Callithrix jacchus: one gene and its partner. The protein of the gene in region 1 binds, or shares a complex with, the protein of each later gene. Links are inferred from orthologs where the notes say so. Each region holds a gene or a part of one and is shown on either strand. Other genes may lie near its edges. The genes, in order: SATB1 and HOXB2.

Region 1 (11,743 bases):
CCTATAGCTTGACACTTCAACCTAATGTGCATATCATGAACTATATTCAATTTTTAAAAAATATTTATTTTTAACAGCCCTCTATTACTAATGTACACCTAAATATTAACTCTAAAACACATGAGTTTAATGCATCAGTACATTGGATATTTGAAAACCTTTCACTTCTTTCTGTTTGCTTAGGGGTAAACTGATCCAATCATGTGTTTGACCCAAAACTTGACTAGGTCTTTAACAAGTCACATAACTCTTGAAACTTTGGTAGTAGAAAACTTTTTCTAGGCATTAACTTATGCCACTGGGGAGTTTAAAAAGCAGTTAGATGTTTGTTACTTTCTTTAGAGCTGGTTTATGTGTTTTTTATAAGAATTAAAACATATGTAAAAATAGAAACATATACATTAGATTTCTAATATTTTGAACTGTGATAATCTTTCCATCCTTTATTAAAGTGTTTCTGCTGTCTTTTTGTAATGAGTTTCTAGTTGTTAAAAATTGGGACTGCATAAATACAATTTGCTGTTTTCTTTTTAGCTATACTTCTGATAATTCTAAAAGTAAGCCCATTTTTCCTCGCTTTTTTTTTATAGGCCAATTACCTTTTTATTCATGTGTATTGGTACAGTTTCCACAGATCATTCTGTTAATTTGAATAAGAATGTAGGGCTATTATCTAGAAACATAGTAACATCTGTATTTTATCTAGAAAGGCCATTTTACAAATACATTATATTAGTAGAGAGAGATATCTAGAGCTAAAACATTTACATAGGACACATATATGCATACGGGTCCCCAACCAATTGTAACGTGTCTTCTTTTTAAATTCTGGCAGGTGATCTTTAGACAGTGACTGAGTATGGATCATTTGAACGAGGCAACTCAGGGGAAAGAACATTCAGAAATGTCTAACAATGTGAGTGATCCGAAGGGTCCACCAGCCAAGATTGCCCGCCTGGAGCAGAACGGGAGCCCACTAGGAAGAGGAAGGCTTGGGAGTACAGGTGCAAAAATGCAGGGAGTGCCTTTAAAACATTCGGGCCATCTGATGAAAACCAACCTTAGGAAAGGTAAATACTCTCAAGCCAAATCCTGGAAAGCTGAAAGCCCTGGTGTCTACACAAGGCCACATTGTGTGGGGGTGGAGTGGCAGAACATGTTTTGTATACTCTGCCTTTATTCTCTTTCTGATCTTAAATTAGTTACATTCTGGGTCCTTAGTATCAATCATGTTAGAAAGTATAGGCTCCATGCTTGGGTGGAGCATTTTACTGTAGTCTGGAATCATTGGACATTTCAGATTCTAAGGACTGAATTAAATATAATGGTCTTAGTTTACACAGGGGTCCATTCACAAGGTGTTACAGTAGAGGATTGTAGGCGGCTGTTGCTTTAAACTAACCTGATTAAGAATAAAACACTTAGGTGGTTTGAGAGCTACCCTAGCTTCTTTCTAAGATTTTTGGTTGTAAGGCAGTTTCAGAGATCTTAAAAGTCTTACACAGAAGTTTGTCATGTTATTTTTCGTGGCTTATTTTCTTCAGAGAAAATTCATTAGTATTGAAAAATCTGATGATTCTGGTCTTTAATTTTTGTTTTAATTGGGTATGCTTGATGAAGAAAGAACAGATTTAGACAAGTTTAAAGGGGAAGATGTGTAACTGTGTGACTCTTTTCTATCAATATTAAATTGATGCGGTTTAACAACTTTGACTGTGTTTAACAGTGTTGTTCCTGTAAAGCAGTGCCTCTCCCGGGTGTAATGCCTGTGCCTCATAAGGAGCTTCATTCTGTGTCTAAATAACATGTATAGGAATCAGATTTTCCTTATAATAGCTAAGCAATGGATTAAAAATGCTATATTTTAGCAACCAAGAATATTAAGTAGCTAAAGTTAGAAGGCAGAGGAATTTCATTGTGTTTGATGCATAACATTTATCATACAATCATTTATTTTTTCCTTGGTTTGGCGAAAACAAAGAATATATTGATCCTGAAATGAACAGACACAGCAGTCCGTATTGTTAGATCTTTATCTATTAAAAATGGAAAAACAGCACTTCAGCAAATTCTTTGGCCTCTACTCATGATTACCCTATTTATTGATTGTTTGCCAAGAATGTATGCATCTTAAGAAAGCCAGGGTAAGAGCATTAAAAATATAATTTATTACGGCTTTTCAAACAGAGTACATTAATATTGTACTGTGAAGCACTGGGGCTCTATAAAAAAGACTTTCTGACGCCTGCAAACATGTAAGTTCCATAAATTCCTAAATAGGAGATTTCAGCTGTCTCTGGTATTATGTGATATTTGCACAGCAAACTTTAATGCCAGGACAGTTTTAGACAAGGATTCTACAGACTTCACTGCTCCTTATGGCAGACGTGCTGTTTACACAGGCTCATAAACCTTCAGCAAAAGCTTCTAAGACTGCCTTCAGGTTTAAATCATGTGGTATTTTTAGCATTCAGCAGTGACCAGTGCTCTCCCCTTTAAATGCTGGAAGGTTATGAAGTCGCTGTAGTTGGAACTCTCACCGAACACTTGCACGAATAATCAGACAGTTCAGAGAAGGCTTATGTTCAGCGTTATTCCCAGGAACAGGAGGGTAACCGCAACAGTTTGCTAGAAGATCTGTAATTAGATGATACTCTTGTTACTTTATAGACATCTTTATTATTTTAGGGTACCTCTAAACATAATCGATAAAATCCAAAATAAATCCAATATATTTCAATAGTTTGAAAACCCTGCAGTTCATAGGTCTAAGGAAAAGCATATTGTAGAATACATCTGTTTAATCCTTCAAAAGGAAGAATCAATATGTGTGTTTTTGTTGTACTTACTCGACTCCTTGAAGATATCAGGACAGGAGGAGGAAGAACTAAAAGTACAGTAAATTCACTTCCTGCTCAAATGCTTTTTTGTTTTGTTTTTTGGATGTATGCTAAAAATGCAGTTTAATTGTAGAAGGGCCTCAGATACTTCAAATAACAAAATTGCTAAAGCCTTTTCATGGATTTTTATTAATATTTCCATCTTATTTTTCTTGTGCATGGTTTCTGTCTGACAGGTGCTAGATGAAAATTATGGCTGAGATGAGAAAGCACTACTAAGAAAAAGGGATTGAATGTTTTTATTTGTTTAGGCGATTTTGTCAAAATATCTTCAAGCCAAGGAAGAAATCACCAGTTTGCGTATTGCTATTTTTGCTGTGGTCTCCCCAAGTTGTCTTCTGATCCCTGACGGGTTCTCTCGCTGGTATAAAACAGCTGAATGAATGACAAAAATATTGGCAAGCTCTGCAGCTTGTTTTTCATGCTTATCCTATTGGTACCTCTGAATGAGTTTGTGAGTTTTCCTAAGTAAACCTAAAGGGGTTTATTTGTCAGAGCTAGAATCTCTTGTGAACAGTTCACTAAAGCTTTGGTGAAGACTCACATATAGAAAGATGTAGCTGTTTTATTGCCGGCTTTTGTTCAACAGAAACAGCAAATAGAGAATCTCTAAAGAGCCTCTCTGGTGTCAGTAGGAAATCCTGATTTTTAGCTACGGTTGCTGTGTACTACATATCTTCAGAAGTTGGTAGGATTCTGTGAGTCCAGAGGACAGAGCTTACAGAGGCATTAGTATTGTAGGACTAATTGTGGATCCTGGGTGCCCTGTTAAAGTAACCCTTGTCATCATTTATGCTAAAGATGATACCCTTCTGGCAGTTTGCCACAGTACAATTCAGATGCATCTGCTTTTAACCCTTTTCCGTTATCATTGGAAGTCTGACAGTGAGCTGCATAAACACCTTGAGTACTACAGCATTCCGTAATATCAATTTCTAGAAGAAGCATCTTGCTGATAGTGAGTGCTGTGGCTTGTGCTTATTAATCATCTGGCTACTGAGTTACTATTGGATTAAAATATATAAAGAGAGAGCACACCAAATCTATGCAGATTCCTTTATCTTAGTATGTCCTGATAAGGTCAGTTTCCTTTTCTCTCTCTAATTTTTATTTTATTTACTATAACAAAGATTGTTGATTTTAAAGACTTACGGATACTGTGTTACCTTTTTAGTTAGGTAGGTTAAATGAGTGTTCATAAAAGCAAATGGTATTTACGTGTATTATGCACATATTGAAATTGTATATTATGAGCACCAGTTTGGTTAAGTACTTTGTGTGGAACCAGTTAGAGTTAATATCTAAAAAAGGAAGAAAATGAAAATTTCATGGTTGAAGATAATTTGTTTGGACACAAACAGGAAAAGTTTATTATTAACAAAATCATATAGGCAGTAGGAATATAGGGTCTTCCGAAGGTAACTAGTGAGTTATGTTTGCATACTGTATACTCATAGCAAACTAGAGAAGACACATTTATTTCTCTTTCATCACCATTATTATTTGATCAGAAAGGTAATTCTGCATTTATTGCTTTTGGAAAATGCATTGTTAATTTAAAGGCCAACTTACCTTAGGACCAAGTTCACATTCTACTCAAATATTTCTCTTACAACTTTAAATAATGCGGGAATGTATATATTTGCATGCATGTGCTTGTAGTTCTGTACCCAGTCTGCATTGGAAGCACAGTGAATCTCTTGTGATTATTTTCATGGCTAATTTTTCCTCCCCCAAGCTGTATTTCTGAAGATTATTGGTTTTCCATCTCTTTTTCTTCATCTTTTTGATAGGAACCATGCTACCGGTTTTCTGTGTGGTGGAACATTATGAAAATGCCATTGAATATGATTGCAAGGAGGAGCATGCAGAATTTGTGTTGGTGAGAAAGGATATGCTTTTCAACCAGCTGATAGAAATGGCACTGCTGTCTCTAGGTTATTCACATAGCTCTGCTGCCCAAGCCAAAGGTAAATAATGTGTATGTGGGGTTGGAAAAATTGCTTGGCATCCTTTGTTTACCTTACAGAGAAAGCACTGAATATTTTTATTCAAAGAACTGTAGCCTGTGTATTACATTGGTTCCGTATAGGCTGTGGCTTTAAAAAATTGGCTTAATTCAGTTTGGTTTAGTTAACACACATTTTGCTCATGTGGAATGTCGAGGTAGATTTTTTTTTTAAATTACTTCAGCTGAATCATTAGTATGCTTATTGACCTTAATAATCTGCTCCACTGAGGACCCACAAGGAAGTGAGGAGCGTATTTGAGCAGATGGACTGTTGAGAGTCAATTTGCATTTATGACTGAATATCTAGTTCTGTTTCTTTTATTCTGTTTCTGATGGTTTTATGGGCTGTAAAGTATTTTTCAATGCTGATTCCCACTGCAATAGAGAATCTTATCTAAATCGTAAAGCCATTTAGAACTGGTTCAGCTATGTCTTATTAGAACTTCCTGTAAGTTAGGAAAATGTGGCCTTATGCATAGGTTTTATTGATGGGGTTTTATTTCCAAAATAATAAACAACCCTATAGTCATTTACATAATTTTACAATTTGGAAAGCTAAGCTGTGAATATTTGCATTGACCTGCCTTTTAGAAGGAAGGGAATCATTCAAACAGAAATAACAGTATTGCTTGTGGTAGGGGTATCAGAAAAAAGAAAAAGATCACCCTTCTACTAGATTTGGTATCTGAGGGTAAAATATTTCGTGACATATTCTCTTTATCTGAAATAGGGCTAATCCAGGTTGGAAAATGGAATCCAGTTCCACTGTCTTACGTGACAGATGCCCCTGATGCTACAGTAGCAGATATGCTTCAAGATGTGTATCATGTGGTCACATTGAAAATTCAGTTACACAGGTGAGTCAAGACAGCAAATCTAGGGTGAAACGTTCTTCTTACCTGGTCATTTTGAAATGAAGCATCTCTCTCTGGTCAACCTTCATTTTTTTTTTTTTTTCTACTCTGTGTTTCAGAAAGGTTAATACAGATTGATTTTGTTACCCTATCCTTCTGTCCTTTTTTCTAACTTCAGTGTATAATTTAAAAGCACCTCCCCCGCAACACACAAAATTTGTAGGTTTGTGCAGGTTATCAAAAGACAAGACTTTTTACGTTTAGTCAATTAAACAATGCATTTCAAGAAGGCATTTTACATAAAGTTTACTTAAGAAAAAAATATTTTTGCATATCATGAACAGTGCCATCTGTGTACATTTTGTGAAAGACTGTCGTATTCACTATTACCACAATCTTATTTATTTATTTTTTTACGATTTTAATTCATATGAACAGAGTAATGAAAGGAAATCGGTTAATACGTTAAAGCTTTTCACGATGGCTCATGAGAAAGCAGTACACCTTAAATTGTCTTCCCAAGTGCATCAGAGCAGGAAGGTAGAAGTAACATGAAAAAATAGCCACCACAGGCAGCTGATGTATAATTCATGCATCGATACAGCAGATGTGTTGTATAAAGTAATTAACTAATCGGAACAATCAGGAGACCGAGAGCAATCTCCAGATGCATCTGTTTGATGCGCAAAATGAAATCTGTCTGTCTTAAAGGAATGTTCTGCAGCGGGATGCAATCTTGTAATAATCCCCTTTCTAATCTATGTCTCAAATAGTTGCCCCAAACTAGAAGACTTGCCTCCTGAACAATGGTCGCACACCACAGTGAGGAATGCTCTGAAGGACTTACTGAAAGATATGAATCAGAGTTCGTTGGCCAAGGAGTGCCCCCTTTCACAGGTACTTAGCATAGCATGTAATAAATAATAAGACATCATGGGCAACCCTGATTTGAGGTTTGATGGAGCTCCCTAGTTTAAAGCAACTGGTATCTGAAGCACGAATCTGCCAAAAATGCAAAGTGACTTGACCACTGATGACCTTTTAAAATATGCCTGATTCATTCTGAACAGAGCCTATACGCTTTTTATCCCTTGGGGAAAAGAGCCAAAGGACTGTTTACAGGAAAAACAGTTCCGTGGAAGACTCTGCTGGCTAGTTTTTAGATTTGTCTTCTTTTTGAATGCTGTGAGCATGATGGCTACATTCTTCTCAATGACCTTATTTATTAAGAAAGAGTCGAGGTGGTACTACTCCCCCAAAGCTTCAGTGAGTGGGAATGGCAGTGTTAGTGATAATGCGCAGAACTTCACCATGCCATCTGAAAAAAATAACTGTACGGTTCTTGGATACTTTACTCATTACCAAAAAATCCAAAGTGTTTCAGTAAAAATAATTATGAGAATAATTACCCGTAACTAAAAGTTGAATAGTTGTTAATTCATTCAGATTTTGTGACCAATTTTGTGGCTTTGGTTTACTTCTTTTCTGTTTTTTAAGTGGAATCTTCTTTTTTCCCCTCTTAGTTGCCTGTCATACCATCAGGGATTTTTGAAATGAAATAAAGATTTTAAAATTATTTTCCTTGATTTCTTTAGAAAAAAATTGGTGGAGGGCAGCTAAAACTCTAGGTAGGAACTGCCTACCTGCTTATAAACAGAAAATCAAACATCATTTTTGACGAAACTCAGCTGATTTCAAATACAAAAGAAAAAGGATGCCGTGAATCTGCTGTTAAGGGCTGCTTGTGGGGTCACCATGTAAATGTGTTACAGTCATCCCCTCAGTATCCAAATCCATTTTAAGGCCATTCCATGATACAGGATGATTGGAATCTTGGTCCACCTAAATTTTTGCCAAATATTTAATGTTTTCTTTTAATTTGAGTTTTAATTCTGAATATTAGTCTCAGTCATTTGAACTTGAACTGTATGACTGCTGTATACATTTCTGCAACTGAGACATCTCAAAGTGTATTTCTGCTATATTCTGAGTAGTAGATAATCTCAAAATGTATTTCTAATGTGAGGCTCATGACGATTATTGGGTACCTTTGACAGGAAACTTATGGGCTTTGTGCTTCTGTTTCATAAAAATTCCATGCATTTCAGATTTGCTAACTTACGGGCTAACATTTGTACTTTGATATTTGCTGGAAATTTTAGAAATAAAACAAATGAATTAAGTTTATAATGAATAGCTTTCTATATTATTCTGAGGTAAGCTATAGCCACAGGTTACATATTCTCTGTATTGCTAAGTGTCCATTTCTTGCAATTTAGAGTATACTTTTTTTTTTTTTTTGTCATTTCAGCTAATCTCCTATCTTCCCTCTCTCTCCCTTGGAATAGAGAGGATATGAATTTATAACCATCAAATAAAAGTAATTAAATTAATTAAACACAGTTAAATCAATAGGATTATATAATAAAAGCAGGGTGACTCTTCAGTGGCTTCATTTCGCAGACAACTCCAGATAACATGTTACGTGGTTGCTAACACTTGAAAATTTGAAATGATCTAGAAATAAACTTTCAAAAAAACTCAGTTAAAACATAATATAAATACCTAGTACAGAAATCGCATGTGTCTTTATGTTACTAAATGTCCCATTGATCTTGGAAGCACATTTAGACAAAGACTTAAGGCATTTACTCTGAGCTGAAGAAGATTTTAGTACAAATATTTGTTGATACAATTAGTGAGAACTAATTGTTAAATGACATAACATTCAGCCAGTGAACTCCACCTCACTATAACTTATAAATAGAATTTTGAATTTACTTAGTGTTATCATGGAAAATGAATTGAATACAGACAATTATAACATTAAGCAGAATGACAAAATGTAATTCAGGACTTGGTTTTGGAGTCATACATTGGTGAATTTCTGTAGAGAGAGGTTTTCAGATACATGGCCTCCTGTGGCTGGATACCTCACTGTAATCATTAAGTGATGGAACTAGGCTGCAATTTCAACATCAGTTATAATTATAGTATTCTTTTCCTTAAAAATATCTTCTAAAAATTCAGCATAGTTTAGCAGTGAAAGCAAATATTTGAAATTAATTTAATATTTAACAGTATGAAAAAATGTAAATTGTTCTCTAAATGAGGGAGTTATTTTATATTTTGCTGAATCATCTTCTATTTTTCTATGAATCTGATACTCTAGTCAGAATGTTTTCAATAAACTATTTTCTGTTTGCTTCTTGATTATGGTTTTCTGCCTAGAGTTATTAAAATGAGAATGCAAGTTTCCTAAAGCCTATGTCCAAAATATATGCCGAGTTTGACAAAACTACTCTTTTTTCTGTGGTTAAGATTTGGTGATAAAGACGTTATGGTGAAGAATGCCTGGCAAATAAATATGACCTCGGTCTTGTACAAAATGGGACCTAACACCAAGAAATGCCAAGTGTTAAGGACTTTTTTCCCCTATGGAGTGTTGATTCATTCATGCAAGAGAACCTTTAGCATGCGATTCAACATACACATTTTACCATAGAGTAAGGGTTTTATTTTGTTGAATATGATAAAGTGTTCCAGTAGCAAGTATGGTTACAGGGTCCTTCAATATTAAACTTAGTAAAAAGTTTACCCTCCTAGACCCTGCTCTGTTAGAGGAATTTACTAATTTAAACTTCGTATAAATTCCTCTAATAGAGCAGGGTCTAGGAGGAGTGGAACTGGGAAGCTACCAGGATTTTGCCTGGGGTGTTGGATAAGCCCTGCCTCCAATGCTCTTAGGATGGTTGTCTATTACTTGCTAAGCAAATGTCCATTTGGACTTGGGTTCTCAGAACCAGAAGGGATTATCCTTCCTAGGCTCTTCCCCTTTGACAATTGAAGCAGCCAGTATCCCTGGAGATTAAAGTCACGGTGCTAGTTAATGACTGACACACAAGTCATGACTTGCTAAGCTTATGTCCTTGGCTTATGATAAATTTTAAAAGTGTTGATTTAGCTACTCAGGAGGCTGAGGCAGAAGAATTACTTGAACCTGGGAGGCAGAGGTTGTGTGGGAGCTGAGATTTGCTACTGCACTCCAGCCTGGTGACAGAGCGAGACTCCATCTCAAAAAAAAAAAAAAAAAAAAAAAAAAGCAACTTACTTTTGGGTACAATAATGTTTTCTTTGATCATATTTGTAAGGTTTTCTCCAGCTGCAGAAATTCCATAAATGGGTTTGGCTTGATTTACAACTCATACCTTTATTTCTGTTATGACTTTCTTATCGTAAATCTGCCCAAATAGATTGACACTCATTTATTAAGTTCTTTGTACCACATGTTTTTTTTATTATTTTTGTAAAATGTTCTAAGACATAAGAAATGCTTAGCTCATTATAGGTCTGAGGATGGATGTTTTGTTGTCACTTTGTTTTTTTCGGTGGATGTGGTTAGTTACATTCTGAATTGCAGCTAAGGAGGAGAAAATAAACTCTGATTTGGGGACAAGAAACCCTGTAATCATAAAACTTTTAGGATATGGATTTGGGAGGAAAATTGGGAATTTAAAAAGTGAACAATTTGATTTATAATAAAACATTACCTTTTGATGCTTATTTTCCCTGGAGTTTTAGAAATTGCATTTAAACACCAGATAAATATGTACGCATTCTGATACAGGGGTAAATTCATTTTGTTAAGTAAAAGGTCAGCTATTAATTTCTACCAGCCTAGTGTCTTCCTTCTAAAAATGTTTAGGTCAAATCTTTTGTGGTGGTTTTAATCTGATTTGCTCATTTTTGCCTCTCCTCTGTCACCACACACATGGGTATACACAGACACACACACATTTACCACACCTTTCACGTTTTTAAGGCATTGGATTATTTTCTATCTTATTTCTCACCTGGAAAAGATATCTTTAAGCCAAGTCATATAAAGTGGGTGAGAACTGTCATTTTTATTTTCAAGTAGTAAAATATATACAAAATACATTTAAATTTGAACATTCCATTTAGAAGTAATATTGAGAAAGATGATTTTCCAATTTTCCTTTTTTCACAGCATCCAAGGATCTCAAATAAGCTGGACAATTTATTTATTAATGGCAAAATAGATTTTAAAAAGAAACTACCCTGTGCTCCTGAAGCTTAGCTTCAGTACTACCCTCCTGAAATGTGACAGTCATTTCCGTAAGAATTGAATACACTTACATGTTTAGTTGATTTTCAGTCTGTATTATAAATGATACTGGAGCAACAATTAGAAAATCTATCATGTTATAGAAAAGTGTTTTTAATAAACTACTTTGTTTCACAGTTTTTGGACTGAAATTACACGTTTCTTAAAAGTAATCACATTCTTAAGAGAATAGCCAGCATCAGTATTCATATGTTGCATTTCACGTGAGAGTCTAACCTATGAAATTTGTTTACATACTCATATATTCAAAGGTATGTATCGACAGTCGGCTGTATGCCAGGCATTCTATTTCCTATGTAGTAATAAGGATATGACATCTTAATCGTTGAAATAATAGTATTACACTTTTAATTTAGTGCTTTTGATGTATCGAGAGTGCCTTTGGTCCCGCTAAGTAGGATATAGTCATATATTCCCATTTTTAAATGAGGAACCTGAGGTGCAGAATGTTGACTTGAATGTCTGTGGCTACCTCACTGGTGAAGCGGAAGGGTAAGACTTCATACCCAGAGCCCGTGAGCTTCACCAAGTACCCTTTTTCATCACATACCACAAACAAAGGAATTGTAAAAAAGACAAAATGAAAGCCTCTCAGATGAATTTGATAGGTTTTATAATATGCTTTGATTTCTCTAAAGTACTGATAACTACTTGTAGTTTTCCACGTGTATTTATTCTCATTACTGAAAATTTTCTTTAATGTGTTTTGGTTTTCTGTCTTTGATTTTTTGTTTATATATTGTCTTGTTTTAAAAGTACATTGCTATCATTTCAAGCCCTCAATCACGGATAATCCAGACAGGAACTGACTTTTGGGATAACTTGGCAT
Region 2 (11,843 bases), on another chromosome or scaffold:
TGGATTTATTAAGAAACGATGCATTCAATTTCGGTGTGTTCAGTAATTATCTTTTATTTCATTTTCTCCCCTTCCCACCCCTCCCCCTCGGATCCAGCAGAGGGCTGTGGTGGCGGCGGCGGCGGTGGTGGCGGCAGCGGCGGCGGAGGCAGTGGTGGCGGCGGGGGCGGCAGCGGCGGCGCGGGAGGGGACAAGAGCCCCCCGGGGTCTGCGGCGTCCAAGAGGGCGCGAACGGCGTACACGAGCGCGCAGCTGGTGGAGCTGGAGAAGGAGTTCCATTTCAACCGCTACCTGTGCCGGCCTCGCCGTGTGGAGATGGCCAACCTGCTGAACCTCAGCGAGCGGCAGATCAAGATCTGGTTCCAGAACCGGCGCATGAAGTACAAGAAGGACCAGAAGGCCAAGGGGCTGGCCTCCTCGTCAGGGGGCCCCTCTCCCGCCGGCAGCCCCCCTCAGGCCATGCAGTCCACCGCCGGCTTCATGAACGCCTTACACTCCATGACCCCCAGCTACGAGAGTCCTTCCCCGCCCGCCTTCGGCAAAGCCCACCAGAATGCCTACGCGCTGCCCTCCAACTACCAGCCCCCTCTCAAAGGCTGTGGCGCCCCGCAGAAGTACCCCCCGACCCCGGCGCCCGAGTATGAGCCGCACATCCTCCAAGCCAACGGGGGCGCCTACGGGACGCCCACCATGCAGGGCAGTCCGGTGTATGTGGGCGGGGGTGGCTACGCAGATCCGCTGCCGCCCCCTGCCGGCCCCTCCCTCTATGGCCTCAACCACCTTTCCCATCACCCTTCCGGGAACCTGGACTACAACGGGGCGCCCCCTATGGCCCCCAGCCAGCACCACGGACCCTGCGACCCCCACCCTACCTACACAGACCTCTCCTCTCACCATGCGCCTCCTCCTCAGGGTAGAATCCAAGAAGCACCCAAATTAACACACCTGTGATGGGAGAGGGCAGACGAGGGTTAGGGGATGGGGAGGAAGAGGGAGACTGTGGAGCTCTGTGGGGGCAGTCTGGACGTCTGAAAGAGAGGCCAGGGAGGTGGTAGCCAGGCTTCCTGGGCAGAACCAGCCTGAAGCTCCTTCCCCTCCCCCTGGCCTGAGAGGTTGCTTTTAAGTCCTCCACCCCTTGTTCCATCTGCCTGCTAACCCATCGGAAAGGATTCCACAGCAGATTGGAGATGACCCCAGCAACCCCAGGGCTCCAGCACCAAGCTGGAATTCCACGCCCGGGAGTGGGGTAGAGGAAGACGAGATAGGACGAGGCAGAGAAGCACATTTTAAAAACCAGACAAGATGGCTAGGCCATCACCACCCAACGGACTTACCTTACATCTTTGTAGGTAATTCCCCCGAAATCTTGATTTTTTTTTCCTCAATTCTCCTTAAAAAAAATAAGAAAACACATTTCAAACCCAAAGGGCACAAAGCACGTTCCCTTTCAACTATCCCCCATCCTCAAATTTGTTCCCATTTATTTGAGGTTTTTTGAGGTACCTACCCTCTTCATTTCCAGCCCCAGGTTTTTCTGCTCTAAGACATTCATGTCTATACATCCCACCCTCATCAATTACAGCTGTTAGAGGGCTCAGGGATGGTGAGAGATCCTGAAAGAGCTGCTCATATTATAAATTATATATATATTTTTAAGGAAAAGTGTGGAGGCCAGGGCAGGCAGGTTGTTAGGACTGAAGGCTTGCCTATTCTGCCTCCATCTCAGCTCCAACTCCATCCCCCTCTCTCCACAGAAAGCAGTTGGTGACACGAGGTTCTACACTTTTCTTTTCTTCTGTTGCTCTCTTGACTTAACGTGAAAACAGGGTATATTTGAACAAACTGTCCCAGGCAGGGGCTGCTGCAGGGCCTGTATGCCTTGCTCAGCCTCCTGACAGGACACTTTTGTTGCACTTAGAGTTTACATTTTAATGGATATAAAAACAACTGTGAGAGATGTCTGGGCCTGCAGAAGTCCGCATCGCTCAAAAAAGTGTGTGTTCTAGTGAACATTTTCATATATATTTATTGGTTATAGCCTGTTAAAATATTTTCTTTTTTGTATTATTTATCCCCCTACATTATGTATTTATATGAGGGAAAAATTGAAAAAAAATTGTACTTTTTTAGTATTTACTTGTTATAAAGGACGTTGTGTTTCCTGTCATGTAAAACCAGCTATTTTAGTTATTCTTGTACTCTAGAAAAGAGCTGTAGATTTATGTTAAACTCGTACTTATGAACAATTGTAATTAGTTCTAAAAGGCATGAACTCAGCTCCTAATTGTCGCTGTATAGTCCTGAATTTGTAGAACTAGAGTTAATTCCCTCTTGGAACTTTCTTTGTTCTTCGGTAGTTACTTTTTTCCTTACCTAAAAGGGTTGTCTGTCAAACAATTCTTGAATAAACTTTGTGTTATCAATTTTATCTTGTCCTGCTGGTCCAATTTAGATAGCAGAGCAAGGCTGCTGACTGCCAAATTTCCCCCAAGGGAAGAAGAAGGACACTGAAGACCCTTCCCTGGCCTTTTTGTCCACTGCCCAGGTTTCTATCTCCCCCTTGATATGTATCAGATTTAAATACCACTTTCTCACTCATAAGAGCCTGGAACATTTTGCCAACTTCTTTAGCTGTGGTTTAAGTAATAAGTTGGGAGGTAAGGGGGGATTCTTTGGTGCTCTCTGTAGGTTTTTCTGTTTGGCCTCTGTGCCTCCCGGTTTTTCATTCATTGACATTTCGTCTGTTAGCTCTTTTGGCCACAACCTCCATGCACCCCTCACCCCTTCCCACTACCAATAGGAAAATCTGGCCGATTACGGTTTCTTCCACGAAACCTAAACTTCACAGTCCTCTTCCGGAGCTACAAAGAAGTTGTCACGTGACCCGAAGCCCAACCACCATTGGGTCTAAAATGAAAACAAAGAAAAATGATTAATCTAAAAAAAAAATCTGAGGCCTAGACTTCTCAGGTCAAACTTTAGAACTAAGTAAAATTAAATCACTAAATAAAACTCAAGGCGGAGGGAGAGGAGGCACGTTTGATTTCCCCTGCCAGAGAAAGGGGAGAGGAGGGTGGAAGCTGTTGGATCCAAGCGTAAATAAAATGGTCCCCAGGCTAATGTGCGGCTCTGTTTCCACCATCCTTGGGAAAACTTCATTTCTTAGTCGTGGTTCCATAAAAGTTTTATCACATTGGAGTGAGAATAGAGAGGGTCTGTCAAAGATGAAATGTCACCGCCGAGTCGCTGGAGCCGATAAGAGCGAGAAGACAGGGCGGCTGAAATATGGAGCTAATTCGTTGAAAGAGAAGCGATGGCTGCTTGCTGAAGAGTTGCATAATTCTAATTGTAAGCGATGTGCCCGCATTGCTTAATTAGGAGCATATATTTGGTGGTAGTGATGGGGGTGGGGGGGAATGAGAATCGTTCCAGGCCCTGCCTTAAAGCGAGGGCTGATTTTCATTTTTATGTTGCATCCTGGCAGTCCAAGGTTAGTAATTATAGTCTTTATGCAACAATAAATAACAATAAAAAAGCAACCTGAATTCTACACCCTCCCCCTTCCCCACCACCAAGTAGGATTTTAACTGGACTCGGCTCACCCAAGCAGCAAGCAATTTAGCACTGGGTCAGGCTATAATTTAAAGGCATAAGAGCGTGCAAAGTTTGGGATCAAATAACGCTCAAGGGTTTTTCTTTCTTTCTCTCGTCTTCCCTGAATAACATGTTCTGAATGATATAACTAGATGAAGCACTATGTTTGGCTCTGGGGTTGTGTTAGGTTGCTTATTTATCTAGCAGGAAAGAGACAGGCCAAGAGAGAGAATTTAGCTTAAGTTTGAAAAACAGAGCTTTGGCTCGAAGCTGGAATTGAAAACAAGAAAAATAAGAAGCAACTTGGCTTGGTGTTCCCTATCCTTCTCTTTGGGAGATTCCAGGCGCTCAGCGAAAGCAGCCAAAGACTTGGGTAAAATATCCGTGCTGTAAAATTCACAGCAGGACAGGGGGGCGGAGGAGGGATGTCTCTTAGAAGGAGGGTTCTCTTGGCCCCTTTAACACCCAAGTTTTCGTTCGCTAATCTGGCCATAAAATCTGTCAGTGAGGGTTAGAGAGAGCTGTATTTCCTGCCGGGACAGTCTCTACCCGAGTCGCCCAAGATAAGCTCTCGATCCTTCAGCCAGCTGGAGAAGTTGGTGCTAAACTCGCAGAGGTGATCAAGGGGTGGCCACAGGGAGAACCCTCTCTCAGGCCTCTCTGAATGACTTCCCGACAGCTACTATTTGGATTCTTCCATGCCCACCCCCATCCACACCTCCAAACGGCAAAAATTGTTTTCTTTGGAGCCGAGTTGCACACTATTATCGCTGGCCACTTTGCCCGGGTTGCAGCAGCTCTCTCTCTCTCTCAGTTCAGAGCCCTCCTGCTCCTGCCTCCCACTGTCCCTGCAGCCCCCACCTCCAATTCCCCTTTCTCTATCCTCCTCTCCCCCACCCTCATTCTACTCAGAATTCTCTGCCGGTCTTTTTAAAATACTCACCACCACCCACGCAGATACAACATTGACAGAAAAATTTCTAGTTCCAGCTCCGGGCTCGGTTGCCATTTCTTTGCTAACCAGCCTTCTCTTCCTGGCTGGGCAGCAGAGAGACAGGAGGGGGAGGGGAGGCCAGAGCCGTGAGAGTTCTCCAGGCAAACTTTCCATCCAACTTAGCGCCTTCCCTCTGTCCCTATTTCCCATCTGTTTCCCAGCTCTCCCAGAATCACCTTTCTCTTTTGCACCCCCACCCCCACCCCCAGGGCTTTTTAAGGGATGTGAAATTTTGGCTGTTCCCTTTGCTTTCCCAAAGAACCAAATTCTTTGATGCAATAGGAGGGAGCTGTCAGAGGGCTAAGATTGATCGCCTCATCTCCTCTCTGTCCCTCTGACCCACGTATTTAAAAATCTTCCCCCAGATCGACTTTTCATTTTCTGTTTTTGAGGCCCAGTTTCTTGTGCCCTCTCCCTATAGTAAATTACAACAGTGTAAACTTTAGACTATCTTGGTCTTCTCAAAATACAATTTAAAAACATTTTCCCCTAGGAGCCAGAAATGAAGTATCATTTCAGTGGTCATTATTTCCACTCCCACCATCTTCAGGGAATTCTTCCTTGTCAGGAATTTTTTTTTTTAACTAGCACAATGGCAAAAATGGGAGGGAAAGTCTCTTTGTCCTAGGGGAAAGCTCCCCACCACACCAGGCACACACATATGCTGACCTGAACTTTGAGAGTGCTCTAAGTTAAATCAGTGGCTACCTCAGTTCTTGTTTATGCCCCTGGATATGGATACAGATACAAGCTTGAGGCTGGAGTGGGTACATGCCCATCTTAGACTCTGCCTGTTTTGGGTGGGGGGGTGTCACAAAGAAGCATGGATGCCTCAAAATGAGGAAAGCAGGGGGACATAAGAGGCAGAGGCAGTGCTGCAAACACTGGGCAGAGAAGAGAAGAACCTAGGCCACACAGCTATGGAGGCTAGAGGCCCAAAAATGCCTCTCATGCTCCATCTCACTTCCATGTGTCAGCCTGGGAGTTCCTGTCCGTTTTCTAAGATTTAACTGTTGCTTTTGGAGGGTGACATGGGGATAGTGGTGCTGATGATTGTAAATCTCTTTGTTATTTGCACCTTAACACTGACCTTTTTCAGAGTGGAAGCCTCTTTCAACTCCCTCTTCCTCCAACGGGGAGATCCTCACTCATCTTGGGGAAGGGGAGAAGAGAAAAGGATGCTGCTGGCCATGTAAAGAAAGCCTTAATTTACTCTATGAAAATAGTTAGAAAAGAGGAAGATTTCTCCCTTAGATTCTCTTCCTTTCCAGGCTTCCGAAACCTCCTAACCTCCGGAGGATTGAGAAAGAGGTTCCCCTAGCTTTTCTGGAGAAAGGGAGGCACTGGGGAGAGAGCGTGTGAGGCACTGGTGGAGGAATGGGGCTCATGGTGTCCACGTCGTGGACCTCTGGAGTTTTTGAATCAATTAAAGCAAATAATGCTCTCTGTTTTCCACCAGGCCCAGCCGAGCGATTGGCGGAGGCCGGCCCCGTGACCACGAATTCCCTGTAATTTCGCCGGAGTCCTGGGTTTAATAGAGAGAGTCCCCATACGCTTGTATTTATCAGCAATATACAATTATAAAGGCCCAAAATTTAAAAAAAAAGAGACCGAAATCTCCCCCTCCCAAAATCGCTCCATTACATAAATCTGGGGGGGGCGGGAGGGGGGGTCCCTTCCGATCCTCCCTCCTGACGCCCCCCCCAGCAGCCCCCTCCCCCACCATTGAAAGCCATGAATTTTGAATTTGAGAGGGAGATTGGGTTTATAAACAGCCAGCCGTCGCTCGCCGAGTGTCTGACTTCCTTCCCCGCTGTCTTGGAGACATTTCAAACTTCATCAATCAAGGAGTCGACATTAATTCCTCCTCCTCCTCCTTTCGAGCAAACCTTCCCCAGCCTCCAGTCCGGCGCCTCCACCCTTCAGAGACCCAGGAGCCAAAAGCGAGCCGAAGATGGGCCTGCTCTGCCGCCGCCACCGCTGCCGCTCCCCACTGCCCCCCCAGCTCCCGAGTTCCCTTGGATGAAAGAGAAGAAATCCGCCAAGAAACCCAGCCAATTCGCCACGTCTCCTTCCCCGGCCGCCTCCGCAGTCCCGGCCTCCCGGGTCGGATCGCCTGCAGGTCAGTAAGTGTGGTGGGGGTGGGGTGAGGGGGCAGCTAGAAGAGGGGGAGAAACAGCAGTAGGAGGAGGTTAAAAAAAAAAAAAAGGTGGCGAGCCTGCTGGGGTTCCGTGCCCCGTCCATTACTGCTGGGGACGGGAAGCGGAAAATCTTCGCTGGGGTTCAGGCCTGGCCGCTGCCAGGGTCTTTTTTCTCTTCCTGCGCTGATTTTGGACGCTGGTTGGGGAAACGTCTTTTCTCTGCTAAAAGAAAATGATTCTATTGAGGTTTTCACCTGTATCTATGTAGGTGAATGAGTGTGTTGCTGGGATTGCCTCTAAAAGCAGGAAAAGATTCGGTCCTTTCTGCCCCAACACTAGGAGAAGAGGAAGAATTCAGAGCTAGGGAGGAAGAGGGGTGAAAAACAATCTTTATGACCCTCGCTCCGGTTGAGTTGGAAAGTTCCGAATTGAGGGGTCCACTGGGAGGGCTGAGGAGGCGGAATCTGAGGTTCTGGCGGGAAAGGGAGCCGCTCTCCACCCCATGCTTGGCCCCGGAGCGGCTCTGAATGCTTTGCCCTGAACCGGGCCGGGGCTGTCGACTAGTGAGGGAGAGAAGGGAACCCAAAAGCAGTGAAAGCGAGCCGCTTTGGGGTGGGGGGCGGGGGTGGGGTGGCGAGGAAAGGGAGAGGTGATACTGGTTTTGGCGGATGGGGTAGTCCTTAGCTGAGGTTGGGCTGAGTACACGGCGCGCTCTGACGCCCAGCCTGTTTTTTCTACAGATGGCCTGGGACTGCCAGAGGCTGGTGGCGGCGGGGCGCGCAGGCTGCGCACGGCTTACACCAATACTCAGCTGCTGGAACTGGAGAAGGAATTTCACTTTAATAAGTACCTGTGCCGGCCACGCCGCGTCGAAATCGCGGCCTTGCTGGACCTCACCGAAAGGCAGGTTAAAGTCTGGTTCCAGAACCGGCGCATGAAGCACAAGCGGCAGACGCAGCACCGAGAGCCGCCCGATGGGGAGCCTGCCTGTCCCGGCGCCCTAGAGGACACTGGCGACCCTGCTGAGGAGCCCGCGGTCAGCCCGGGCGGCCCCTCCGCCTCGCGGACGGCTCGGGAAGCCTGTCCTCACCCGCCGGAGGTGGTGCCGGGGACCCTGAGCGCCGCGGACCCCCGGCCTTTAGCCGCTCGCTTAGAGGGCACGGGCGCGCCGAGCCCCGGCTGCGTGCTGCGCGGGTCGGGCGGCCAGGAGCCGGGGCCATTGCCAGAAGACGTCTTCACACAGCGCCAGGATTCGCCTTTCCTTCCCGACCTCAACTTCTTCGCGGCCGACTCCTGTCTCCAGCTGTCCGGAGGCCTCTCCCCTAGCCTACAGGGTTCTCTCGACAGCCCGGTCCCCTTTACAGAGGAAGATCTGGACTTCTTCACCAGCACGCTCTGTGCCATCGACCTGCAGTTTCCCTAACCGGTTTCCTCCTCCCGGCCCTTTCGACCCCCGCGCTCCTTGGCAGTCTGGAAAAATTGAGCCTCTCCCACCCCCAGTCGCATAGACTTTTGTGTTTTGTTAAAATTCAGGTATTACTGAATTAGCGTTTAATCCACTCCCCTTCTTCTTCTAAAATATTGGGCGCTCGGGCATCTTTTAAAATTCAAACAAAAATTCCGTTTGGTAGACTCCTTCCAATGAAATCTCAGGAATAATTAAACTCTAGGGGGACTTTCTTAAAAATAACTAGAGGAACCTATTTTCCTCTTTTTGTGTTTTAGACTGTAGATTATTTATTAAAATTCTTTAATAATAGGAAAAGGGGAAAGTATTTATTGTACATTATTTTCATAGATTAAATAAATGTCTTTATAATACGAAAACGAGTGTTTCTGTTGGGACCTAACCCCTTTCCCCCTCCCGGCCCCAAGGCCCATCCTCACTCCTCCAGGACCTGTGAGAAGCTGATTAGGTTCAGCGGTCTATTGGCAGCAAAGCCTCCTGGACCGGCGAAGTCCGGGTGGTACAAAGGTGACCCGATGGATGGCCACTTCGCCCATGGCTCCGGCCAGAGTCAGGAGTTTGCAGGAAGCTCAGTCACCTCCGTGCACCTCAACAGAGGGCCTCTGGTTTCAAGCGGGTGGTCTTGGGGCCTCTGCTTAGAAATAAAGATGGGCGGGTGTACAGCGAACAGAAGACAGTGCAAGGAGAGGAGGCCTGGGGACAGGCTTCGGGGTCCTAGCGGGGGCGCAGAAGTTTCCTGGAATTGGGAAGGATCCCAGGGGCTTCATCGCTTCTTAGGACCAAAGCCGCTGTAGGGCCTTTTATTGAACTCAAGAAGCCTAGGGACACGAAGCCTGGGGCTTGAGCTCTTTGGGAGCTGTAGGTGGCTCTCCAAGGAGTGGAGTGGGGTCGGGGATTTTCTCGGGAAGCAGGGCCCCGCACCCAGAGATGGTAACTGGCCTCCAGTGGGCAAGAAAAGTGGCCAGCTGAGAAATGTGGCGCTGCCGGGACACCCATGCACTCTGGGACTGCTGGGGTTTGGGGGAGCATACGAGAAGCAGCCCGGCGACAAGCCCAGGGAGGCCCGGTACCGTCGCTAGGCATTGGGCCTGCAGGGTGAGAAGGAGGAGCGAGGAGAGCGGGAGGGAGACAGGGAAGCAAAGATGATGCTCAAAATGGCGCTGGGCCGGGCGGCGGAGTTGGCGGGGGATGAGGGAAGAGGCTGCGGCCGCCATGACAGCCGCTGCGGGAGGCGCCATACCAGCGGGGTCTGCCCCCGCCCCCGCGTCCTCCCAGCCGGATCTTCCAGACGCCGGGGAGTAAGGGGCGCCTGGGAGTCCCACCTTCGTTTTTGTTTGTTTGTTTGATTTTTTTAATTTTTAAAGTGAGCCCAACGGACGCTGAGGACGCGAGATGGAAGAAGAGTCCGGGTGTTTGTGGGAAAGGAAGGAGAGCGGCGGGTCTGCGGGCCCGGGTGTGCCTCAACGAGTCTCACTTTCGATCCTTCGCTGTGGGATTTGAAGCCAGGCCAGAGCTCTCTCTAGATGCAGACCCACCTGTCTTGACCAACAACTTCATTTTCCATATCAACACCACGTCCTGTCTATCTCCCGCCGCACCCTGCCTGCTTCCTTGTAAACCCGGTAAGCGGGAAGCAAGGATCGATCTCCCCACCTCCTGGTTCGTTCTGGGAAGGTGGAGATTTAAAGGACCCTGGAAAGCCATCCATCCTCCCTAGGTTTATCCAATATTTCTCCCGCTCAGAAACAGACACTGCGGGGCTATCTCTCCGGCAGATGCTGCTCTTCTCTAAAATCAGTTTATTTCCGGGGCCCCCAGACTTTCCCCTGGACCAGCAGGAGCGGGATTTACAGTACCAGAGGCAGCAATCGTCAGGTTAAGCCAGGAGTCAACATAGATTGTGACACAGAGGACTAGACAGACCCTTTGCATATTTTTAAATGGGTCCCTCAGCATGGGAAGTACACACATCTTATTTAGCTGGAACTTAATCCCTTAAACTGTCTTAATACAGAATTCATCTCGTGTATTAAATAATCTTACATCATGTTAAATTGCACTTATGTCTCTCATAAATAAATTAATATAGAACAATTAGATGTGTTATAATAATATCGTGTATCTTAGTTTATTTTCCCTCATAAAATATATAGGTATAAAATAAATTCAATATATTAAAGTAATAATACACAGCTTATTGGCTTGTGTGTTTATTTTCCCCATAAATAAGTGAATATACAATATATTAAACCACACTATACATCTCATTGGGCTGTGTGTTTATTTCTCTATAAAATATGCCCACAGGCAGTGTTTAAAAATCTTAAAAATCACAGCACACAAGCCATCTATCTCTACACTAGCAAAATGAACAGATATTTCAGCTGGGGCGTTGATTTCTGTGGACAGTTGAACTAGATAATTTGGTCTAATTAAAAATGCTCAAGGCCAGGCGCGGTGGCTCAAGCCTGCAATCCCAGCACTTTGGGAGGCCGAGGCGGGTGGATCACGAGGTCAAGAGATGGAGACCATCCTGGTCAACATGGTGAAACCCCGTCTCTATTAAAAATACAAAAAATTAGCTGGGCATGGTGGCGCGTGCCTGTAATCCCAGCTACTCAGGAGGCTGAGGCAGGAGAATTGCTTGAACCCAGGAGGTGGAGGTAGCGGTGAGCCGAGATCTCGCCATTGCACTCCAGCCTGGGTAACAAGAGCGAAACTCCGTCTCAAAAAAAAAAAAAAAAAAAGTGCTCTTGGCTGAGCTCAGTGGCTCAAGACTGTAATCTCAGCACTTTGGGAGGCTGAGGCAGGTGGATCACGAGATCAAGAGATCGAGACCATCGGGGCCAACATGGTGAAACCCTGTCTCTACTAAAAATACAAAAATTAGCTGGGTGTGGTGGCGGGCGCCTGTATTCCTAGCTACTCCGGAGGCTGAGGCAAATCGCTTGAACCTGGGAGGTGAGGTTGCAGTGAGAGTCGAGATCATACCACTGCACTCCAGCCTGGTGACAGAGTGAGACTCTGTGTCAAAGAAGAAGAAGAAGAAGAAGAAGAAGAAAGAAGAAGAAGAAGAAGAAGAAGAAGAAGAAGAAGAAGAAGAAGAAGAAGAAGGAGGAGAAAGAAGGAGGAGGAGGAGGAGGAGGAGGAGGAGGAGGAGGAGGAGGAGGAGGAGGAGAAAAGAAAAAAATTGCTCTTGCAGCTAGCTATAGCAGGTTGTTACAAAGATCAAGAATACCAGAAGGATCTTGCTAATGGCCTACCTTCCAGTTTCTTTGGTCAAAAGGAGAGCACCCTTCCTCAATGCCAAAAAATGTAAAGTCCACTCTGCAGGAGAGAATTCCTATTAGGGGCCTCTGATGCACCAGTTCTCTGGAGCCTAACTGCTCCGTGGACCAGCAGCATCAGCACTACCTGTGAGCTACCCAGAATCTTAGGCCCCTGAATCAGACCCACTGAATCAGAATTTACAGTTTAGCAGCTCCCCAGTGATTTCTATACACTTAAAATTTGAAAAGTACTGCTAGATCATAGTGTCACCTGCTTTCTGCCTTCCTTCATGCTTCAGAATTTTTGACTCATTTTACCTGGCCCCTGCCTTCCAATCCTCCCAACCAAAACCAGTAGCTCAAATTGCAGGGAATCT

Evidence for each region.
Region 2: SATB1 (region 1) and HOXB2 share a complex: the UniProt entries of both Homo sapiens proteins name them as parts of the nuclear protein complex. The link is inferred for Callithrix jacchus from reciprocal best matches to the Homo sapiens genes SATB1 and HOXB2.

What each region holds. Positions count from the first base shown.
Region 1 is NC_133518.1:57,107,683-57,119,425, reverse strand, and holds the start of SATB1 (DNA-binding protein SATB1), read left to right. Parts: upstream 1-853; 5' UTR 854-859; coding exon 860-1,070; intron 1,071-4,693; coding exon 4,694-4,870; intron 4,871-5,641; coding exon 5,642-5,768; intron 5,769-6,538; coding exon 6,539-6,662; intron 6,663-11,743. UniProt on the Homo sapiens protein: Crucial silencing factor contributing to the initiation of X inactivation mediated by Xist RNA that occurs during embryogenesis and in lymphoma.
Region 2 is NC_133506.1:117,726,594-117,738,436, forward strand, and holds HOXB2 (homeobox protein Hox-B2), read left to right. Parts: upstream 1-6,125; 5' UTR 6,126-6,322; coding exon 6,323-6,710; intron 6,711-7,469; coding exon 7,470-8,152; 3' UTR 8,153-10,392; downstream 10,393-11,843. Other genes in the region: HOXB3 (homeobox protein Hox-B3), read left to right, coding at 98-951. UniProt on the Homo sapiens protein: Sequence-specific transcription factor which is part of a developmental regulatory system that provides cells with specific positional identities on the anterior-posterior axis.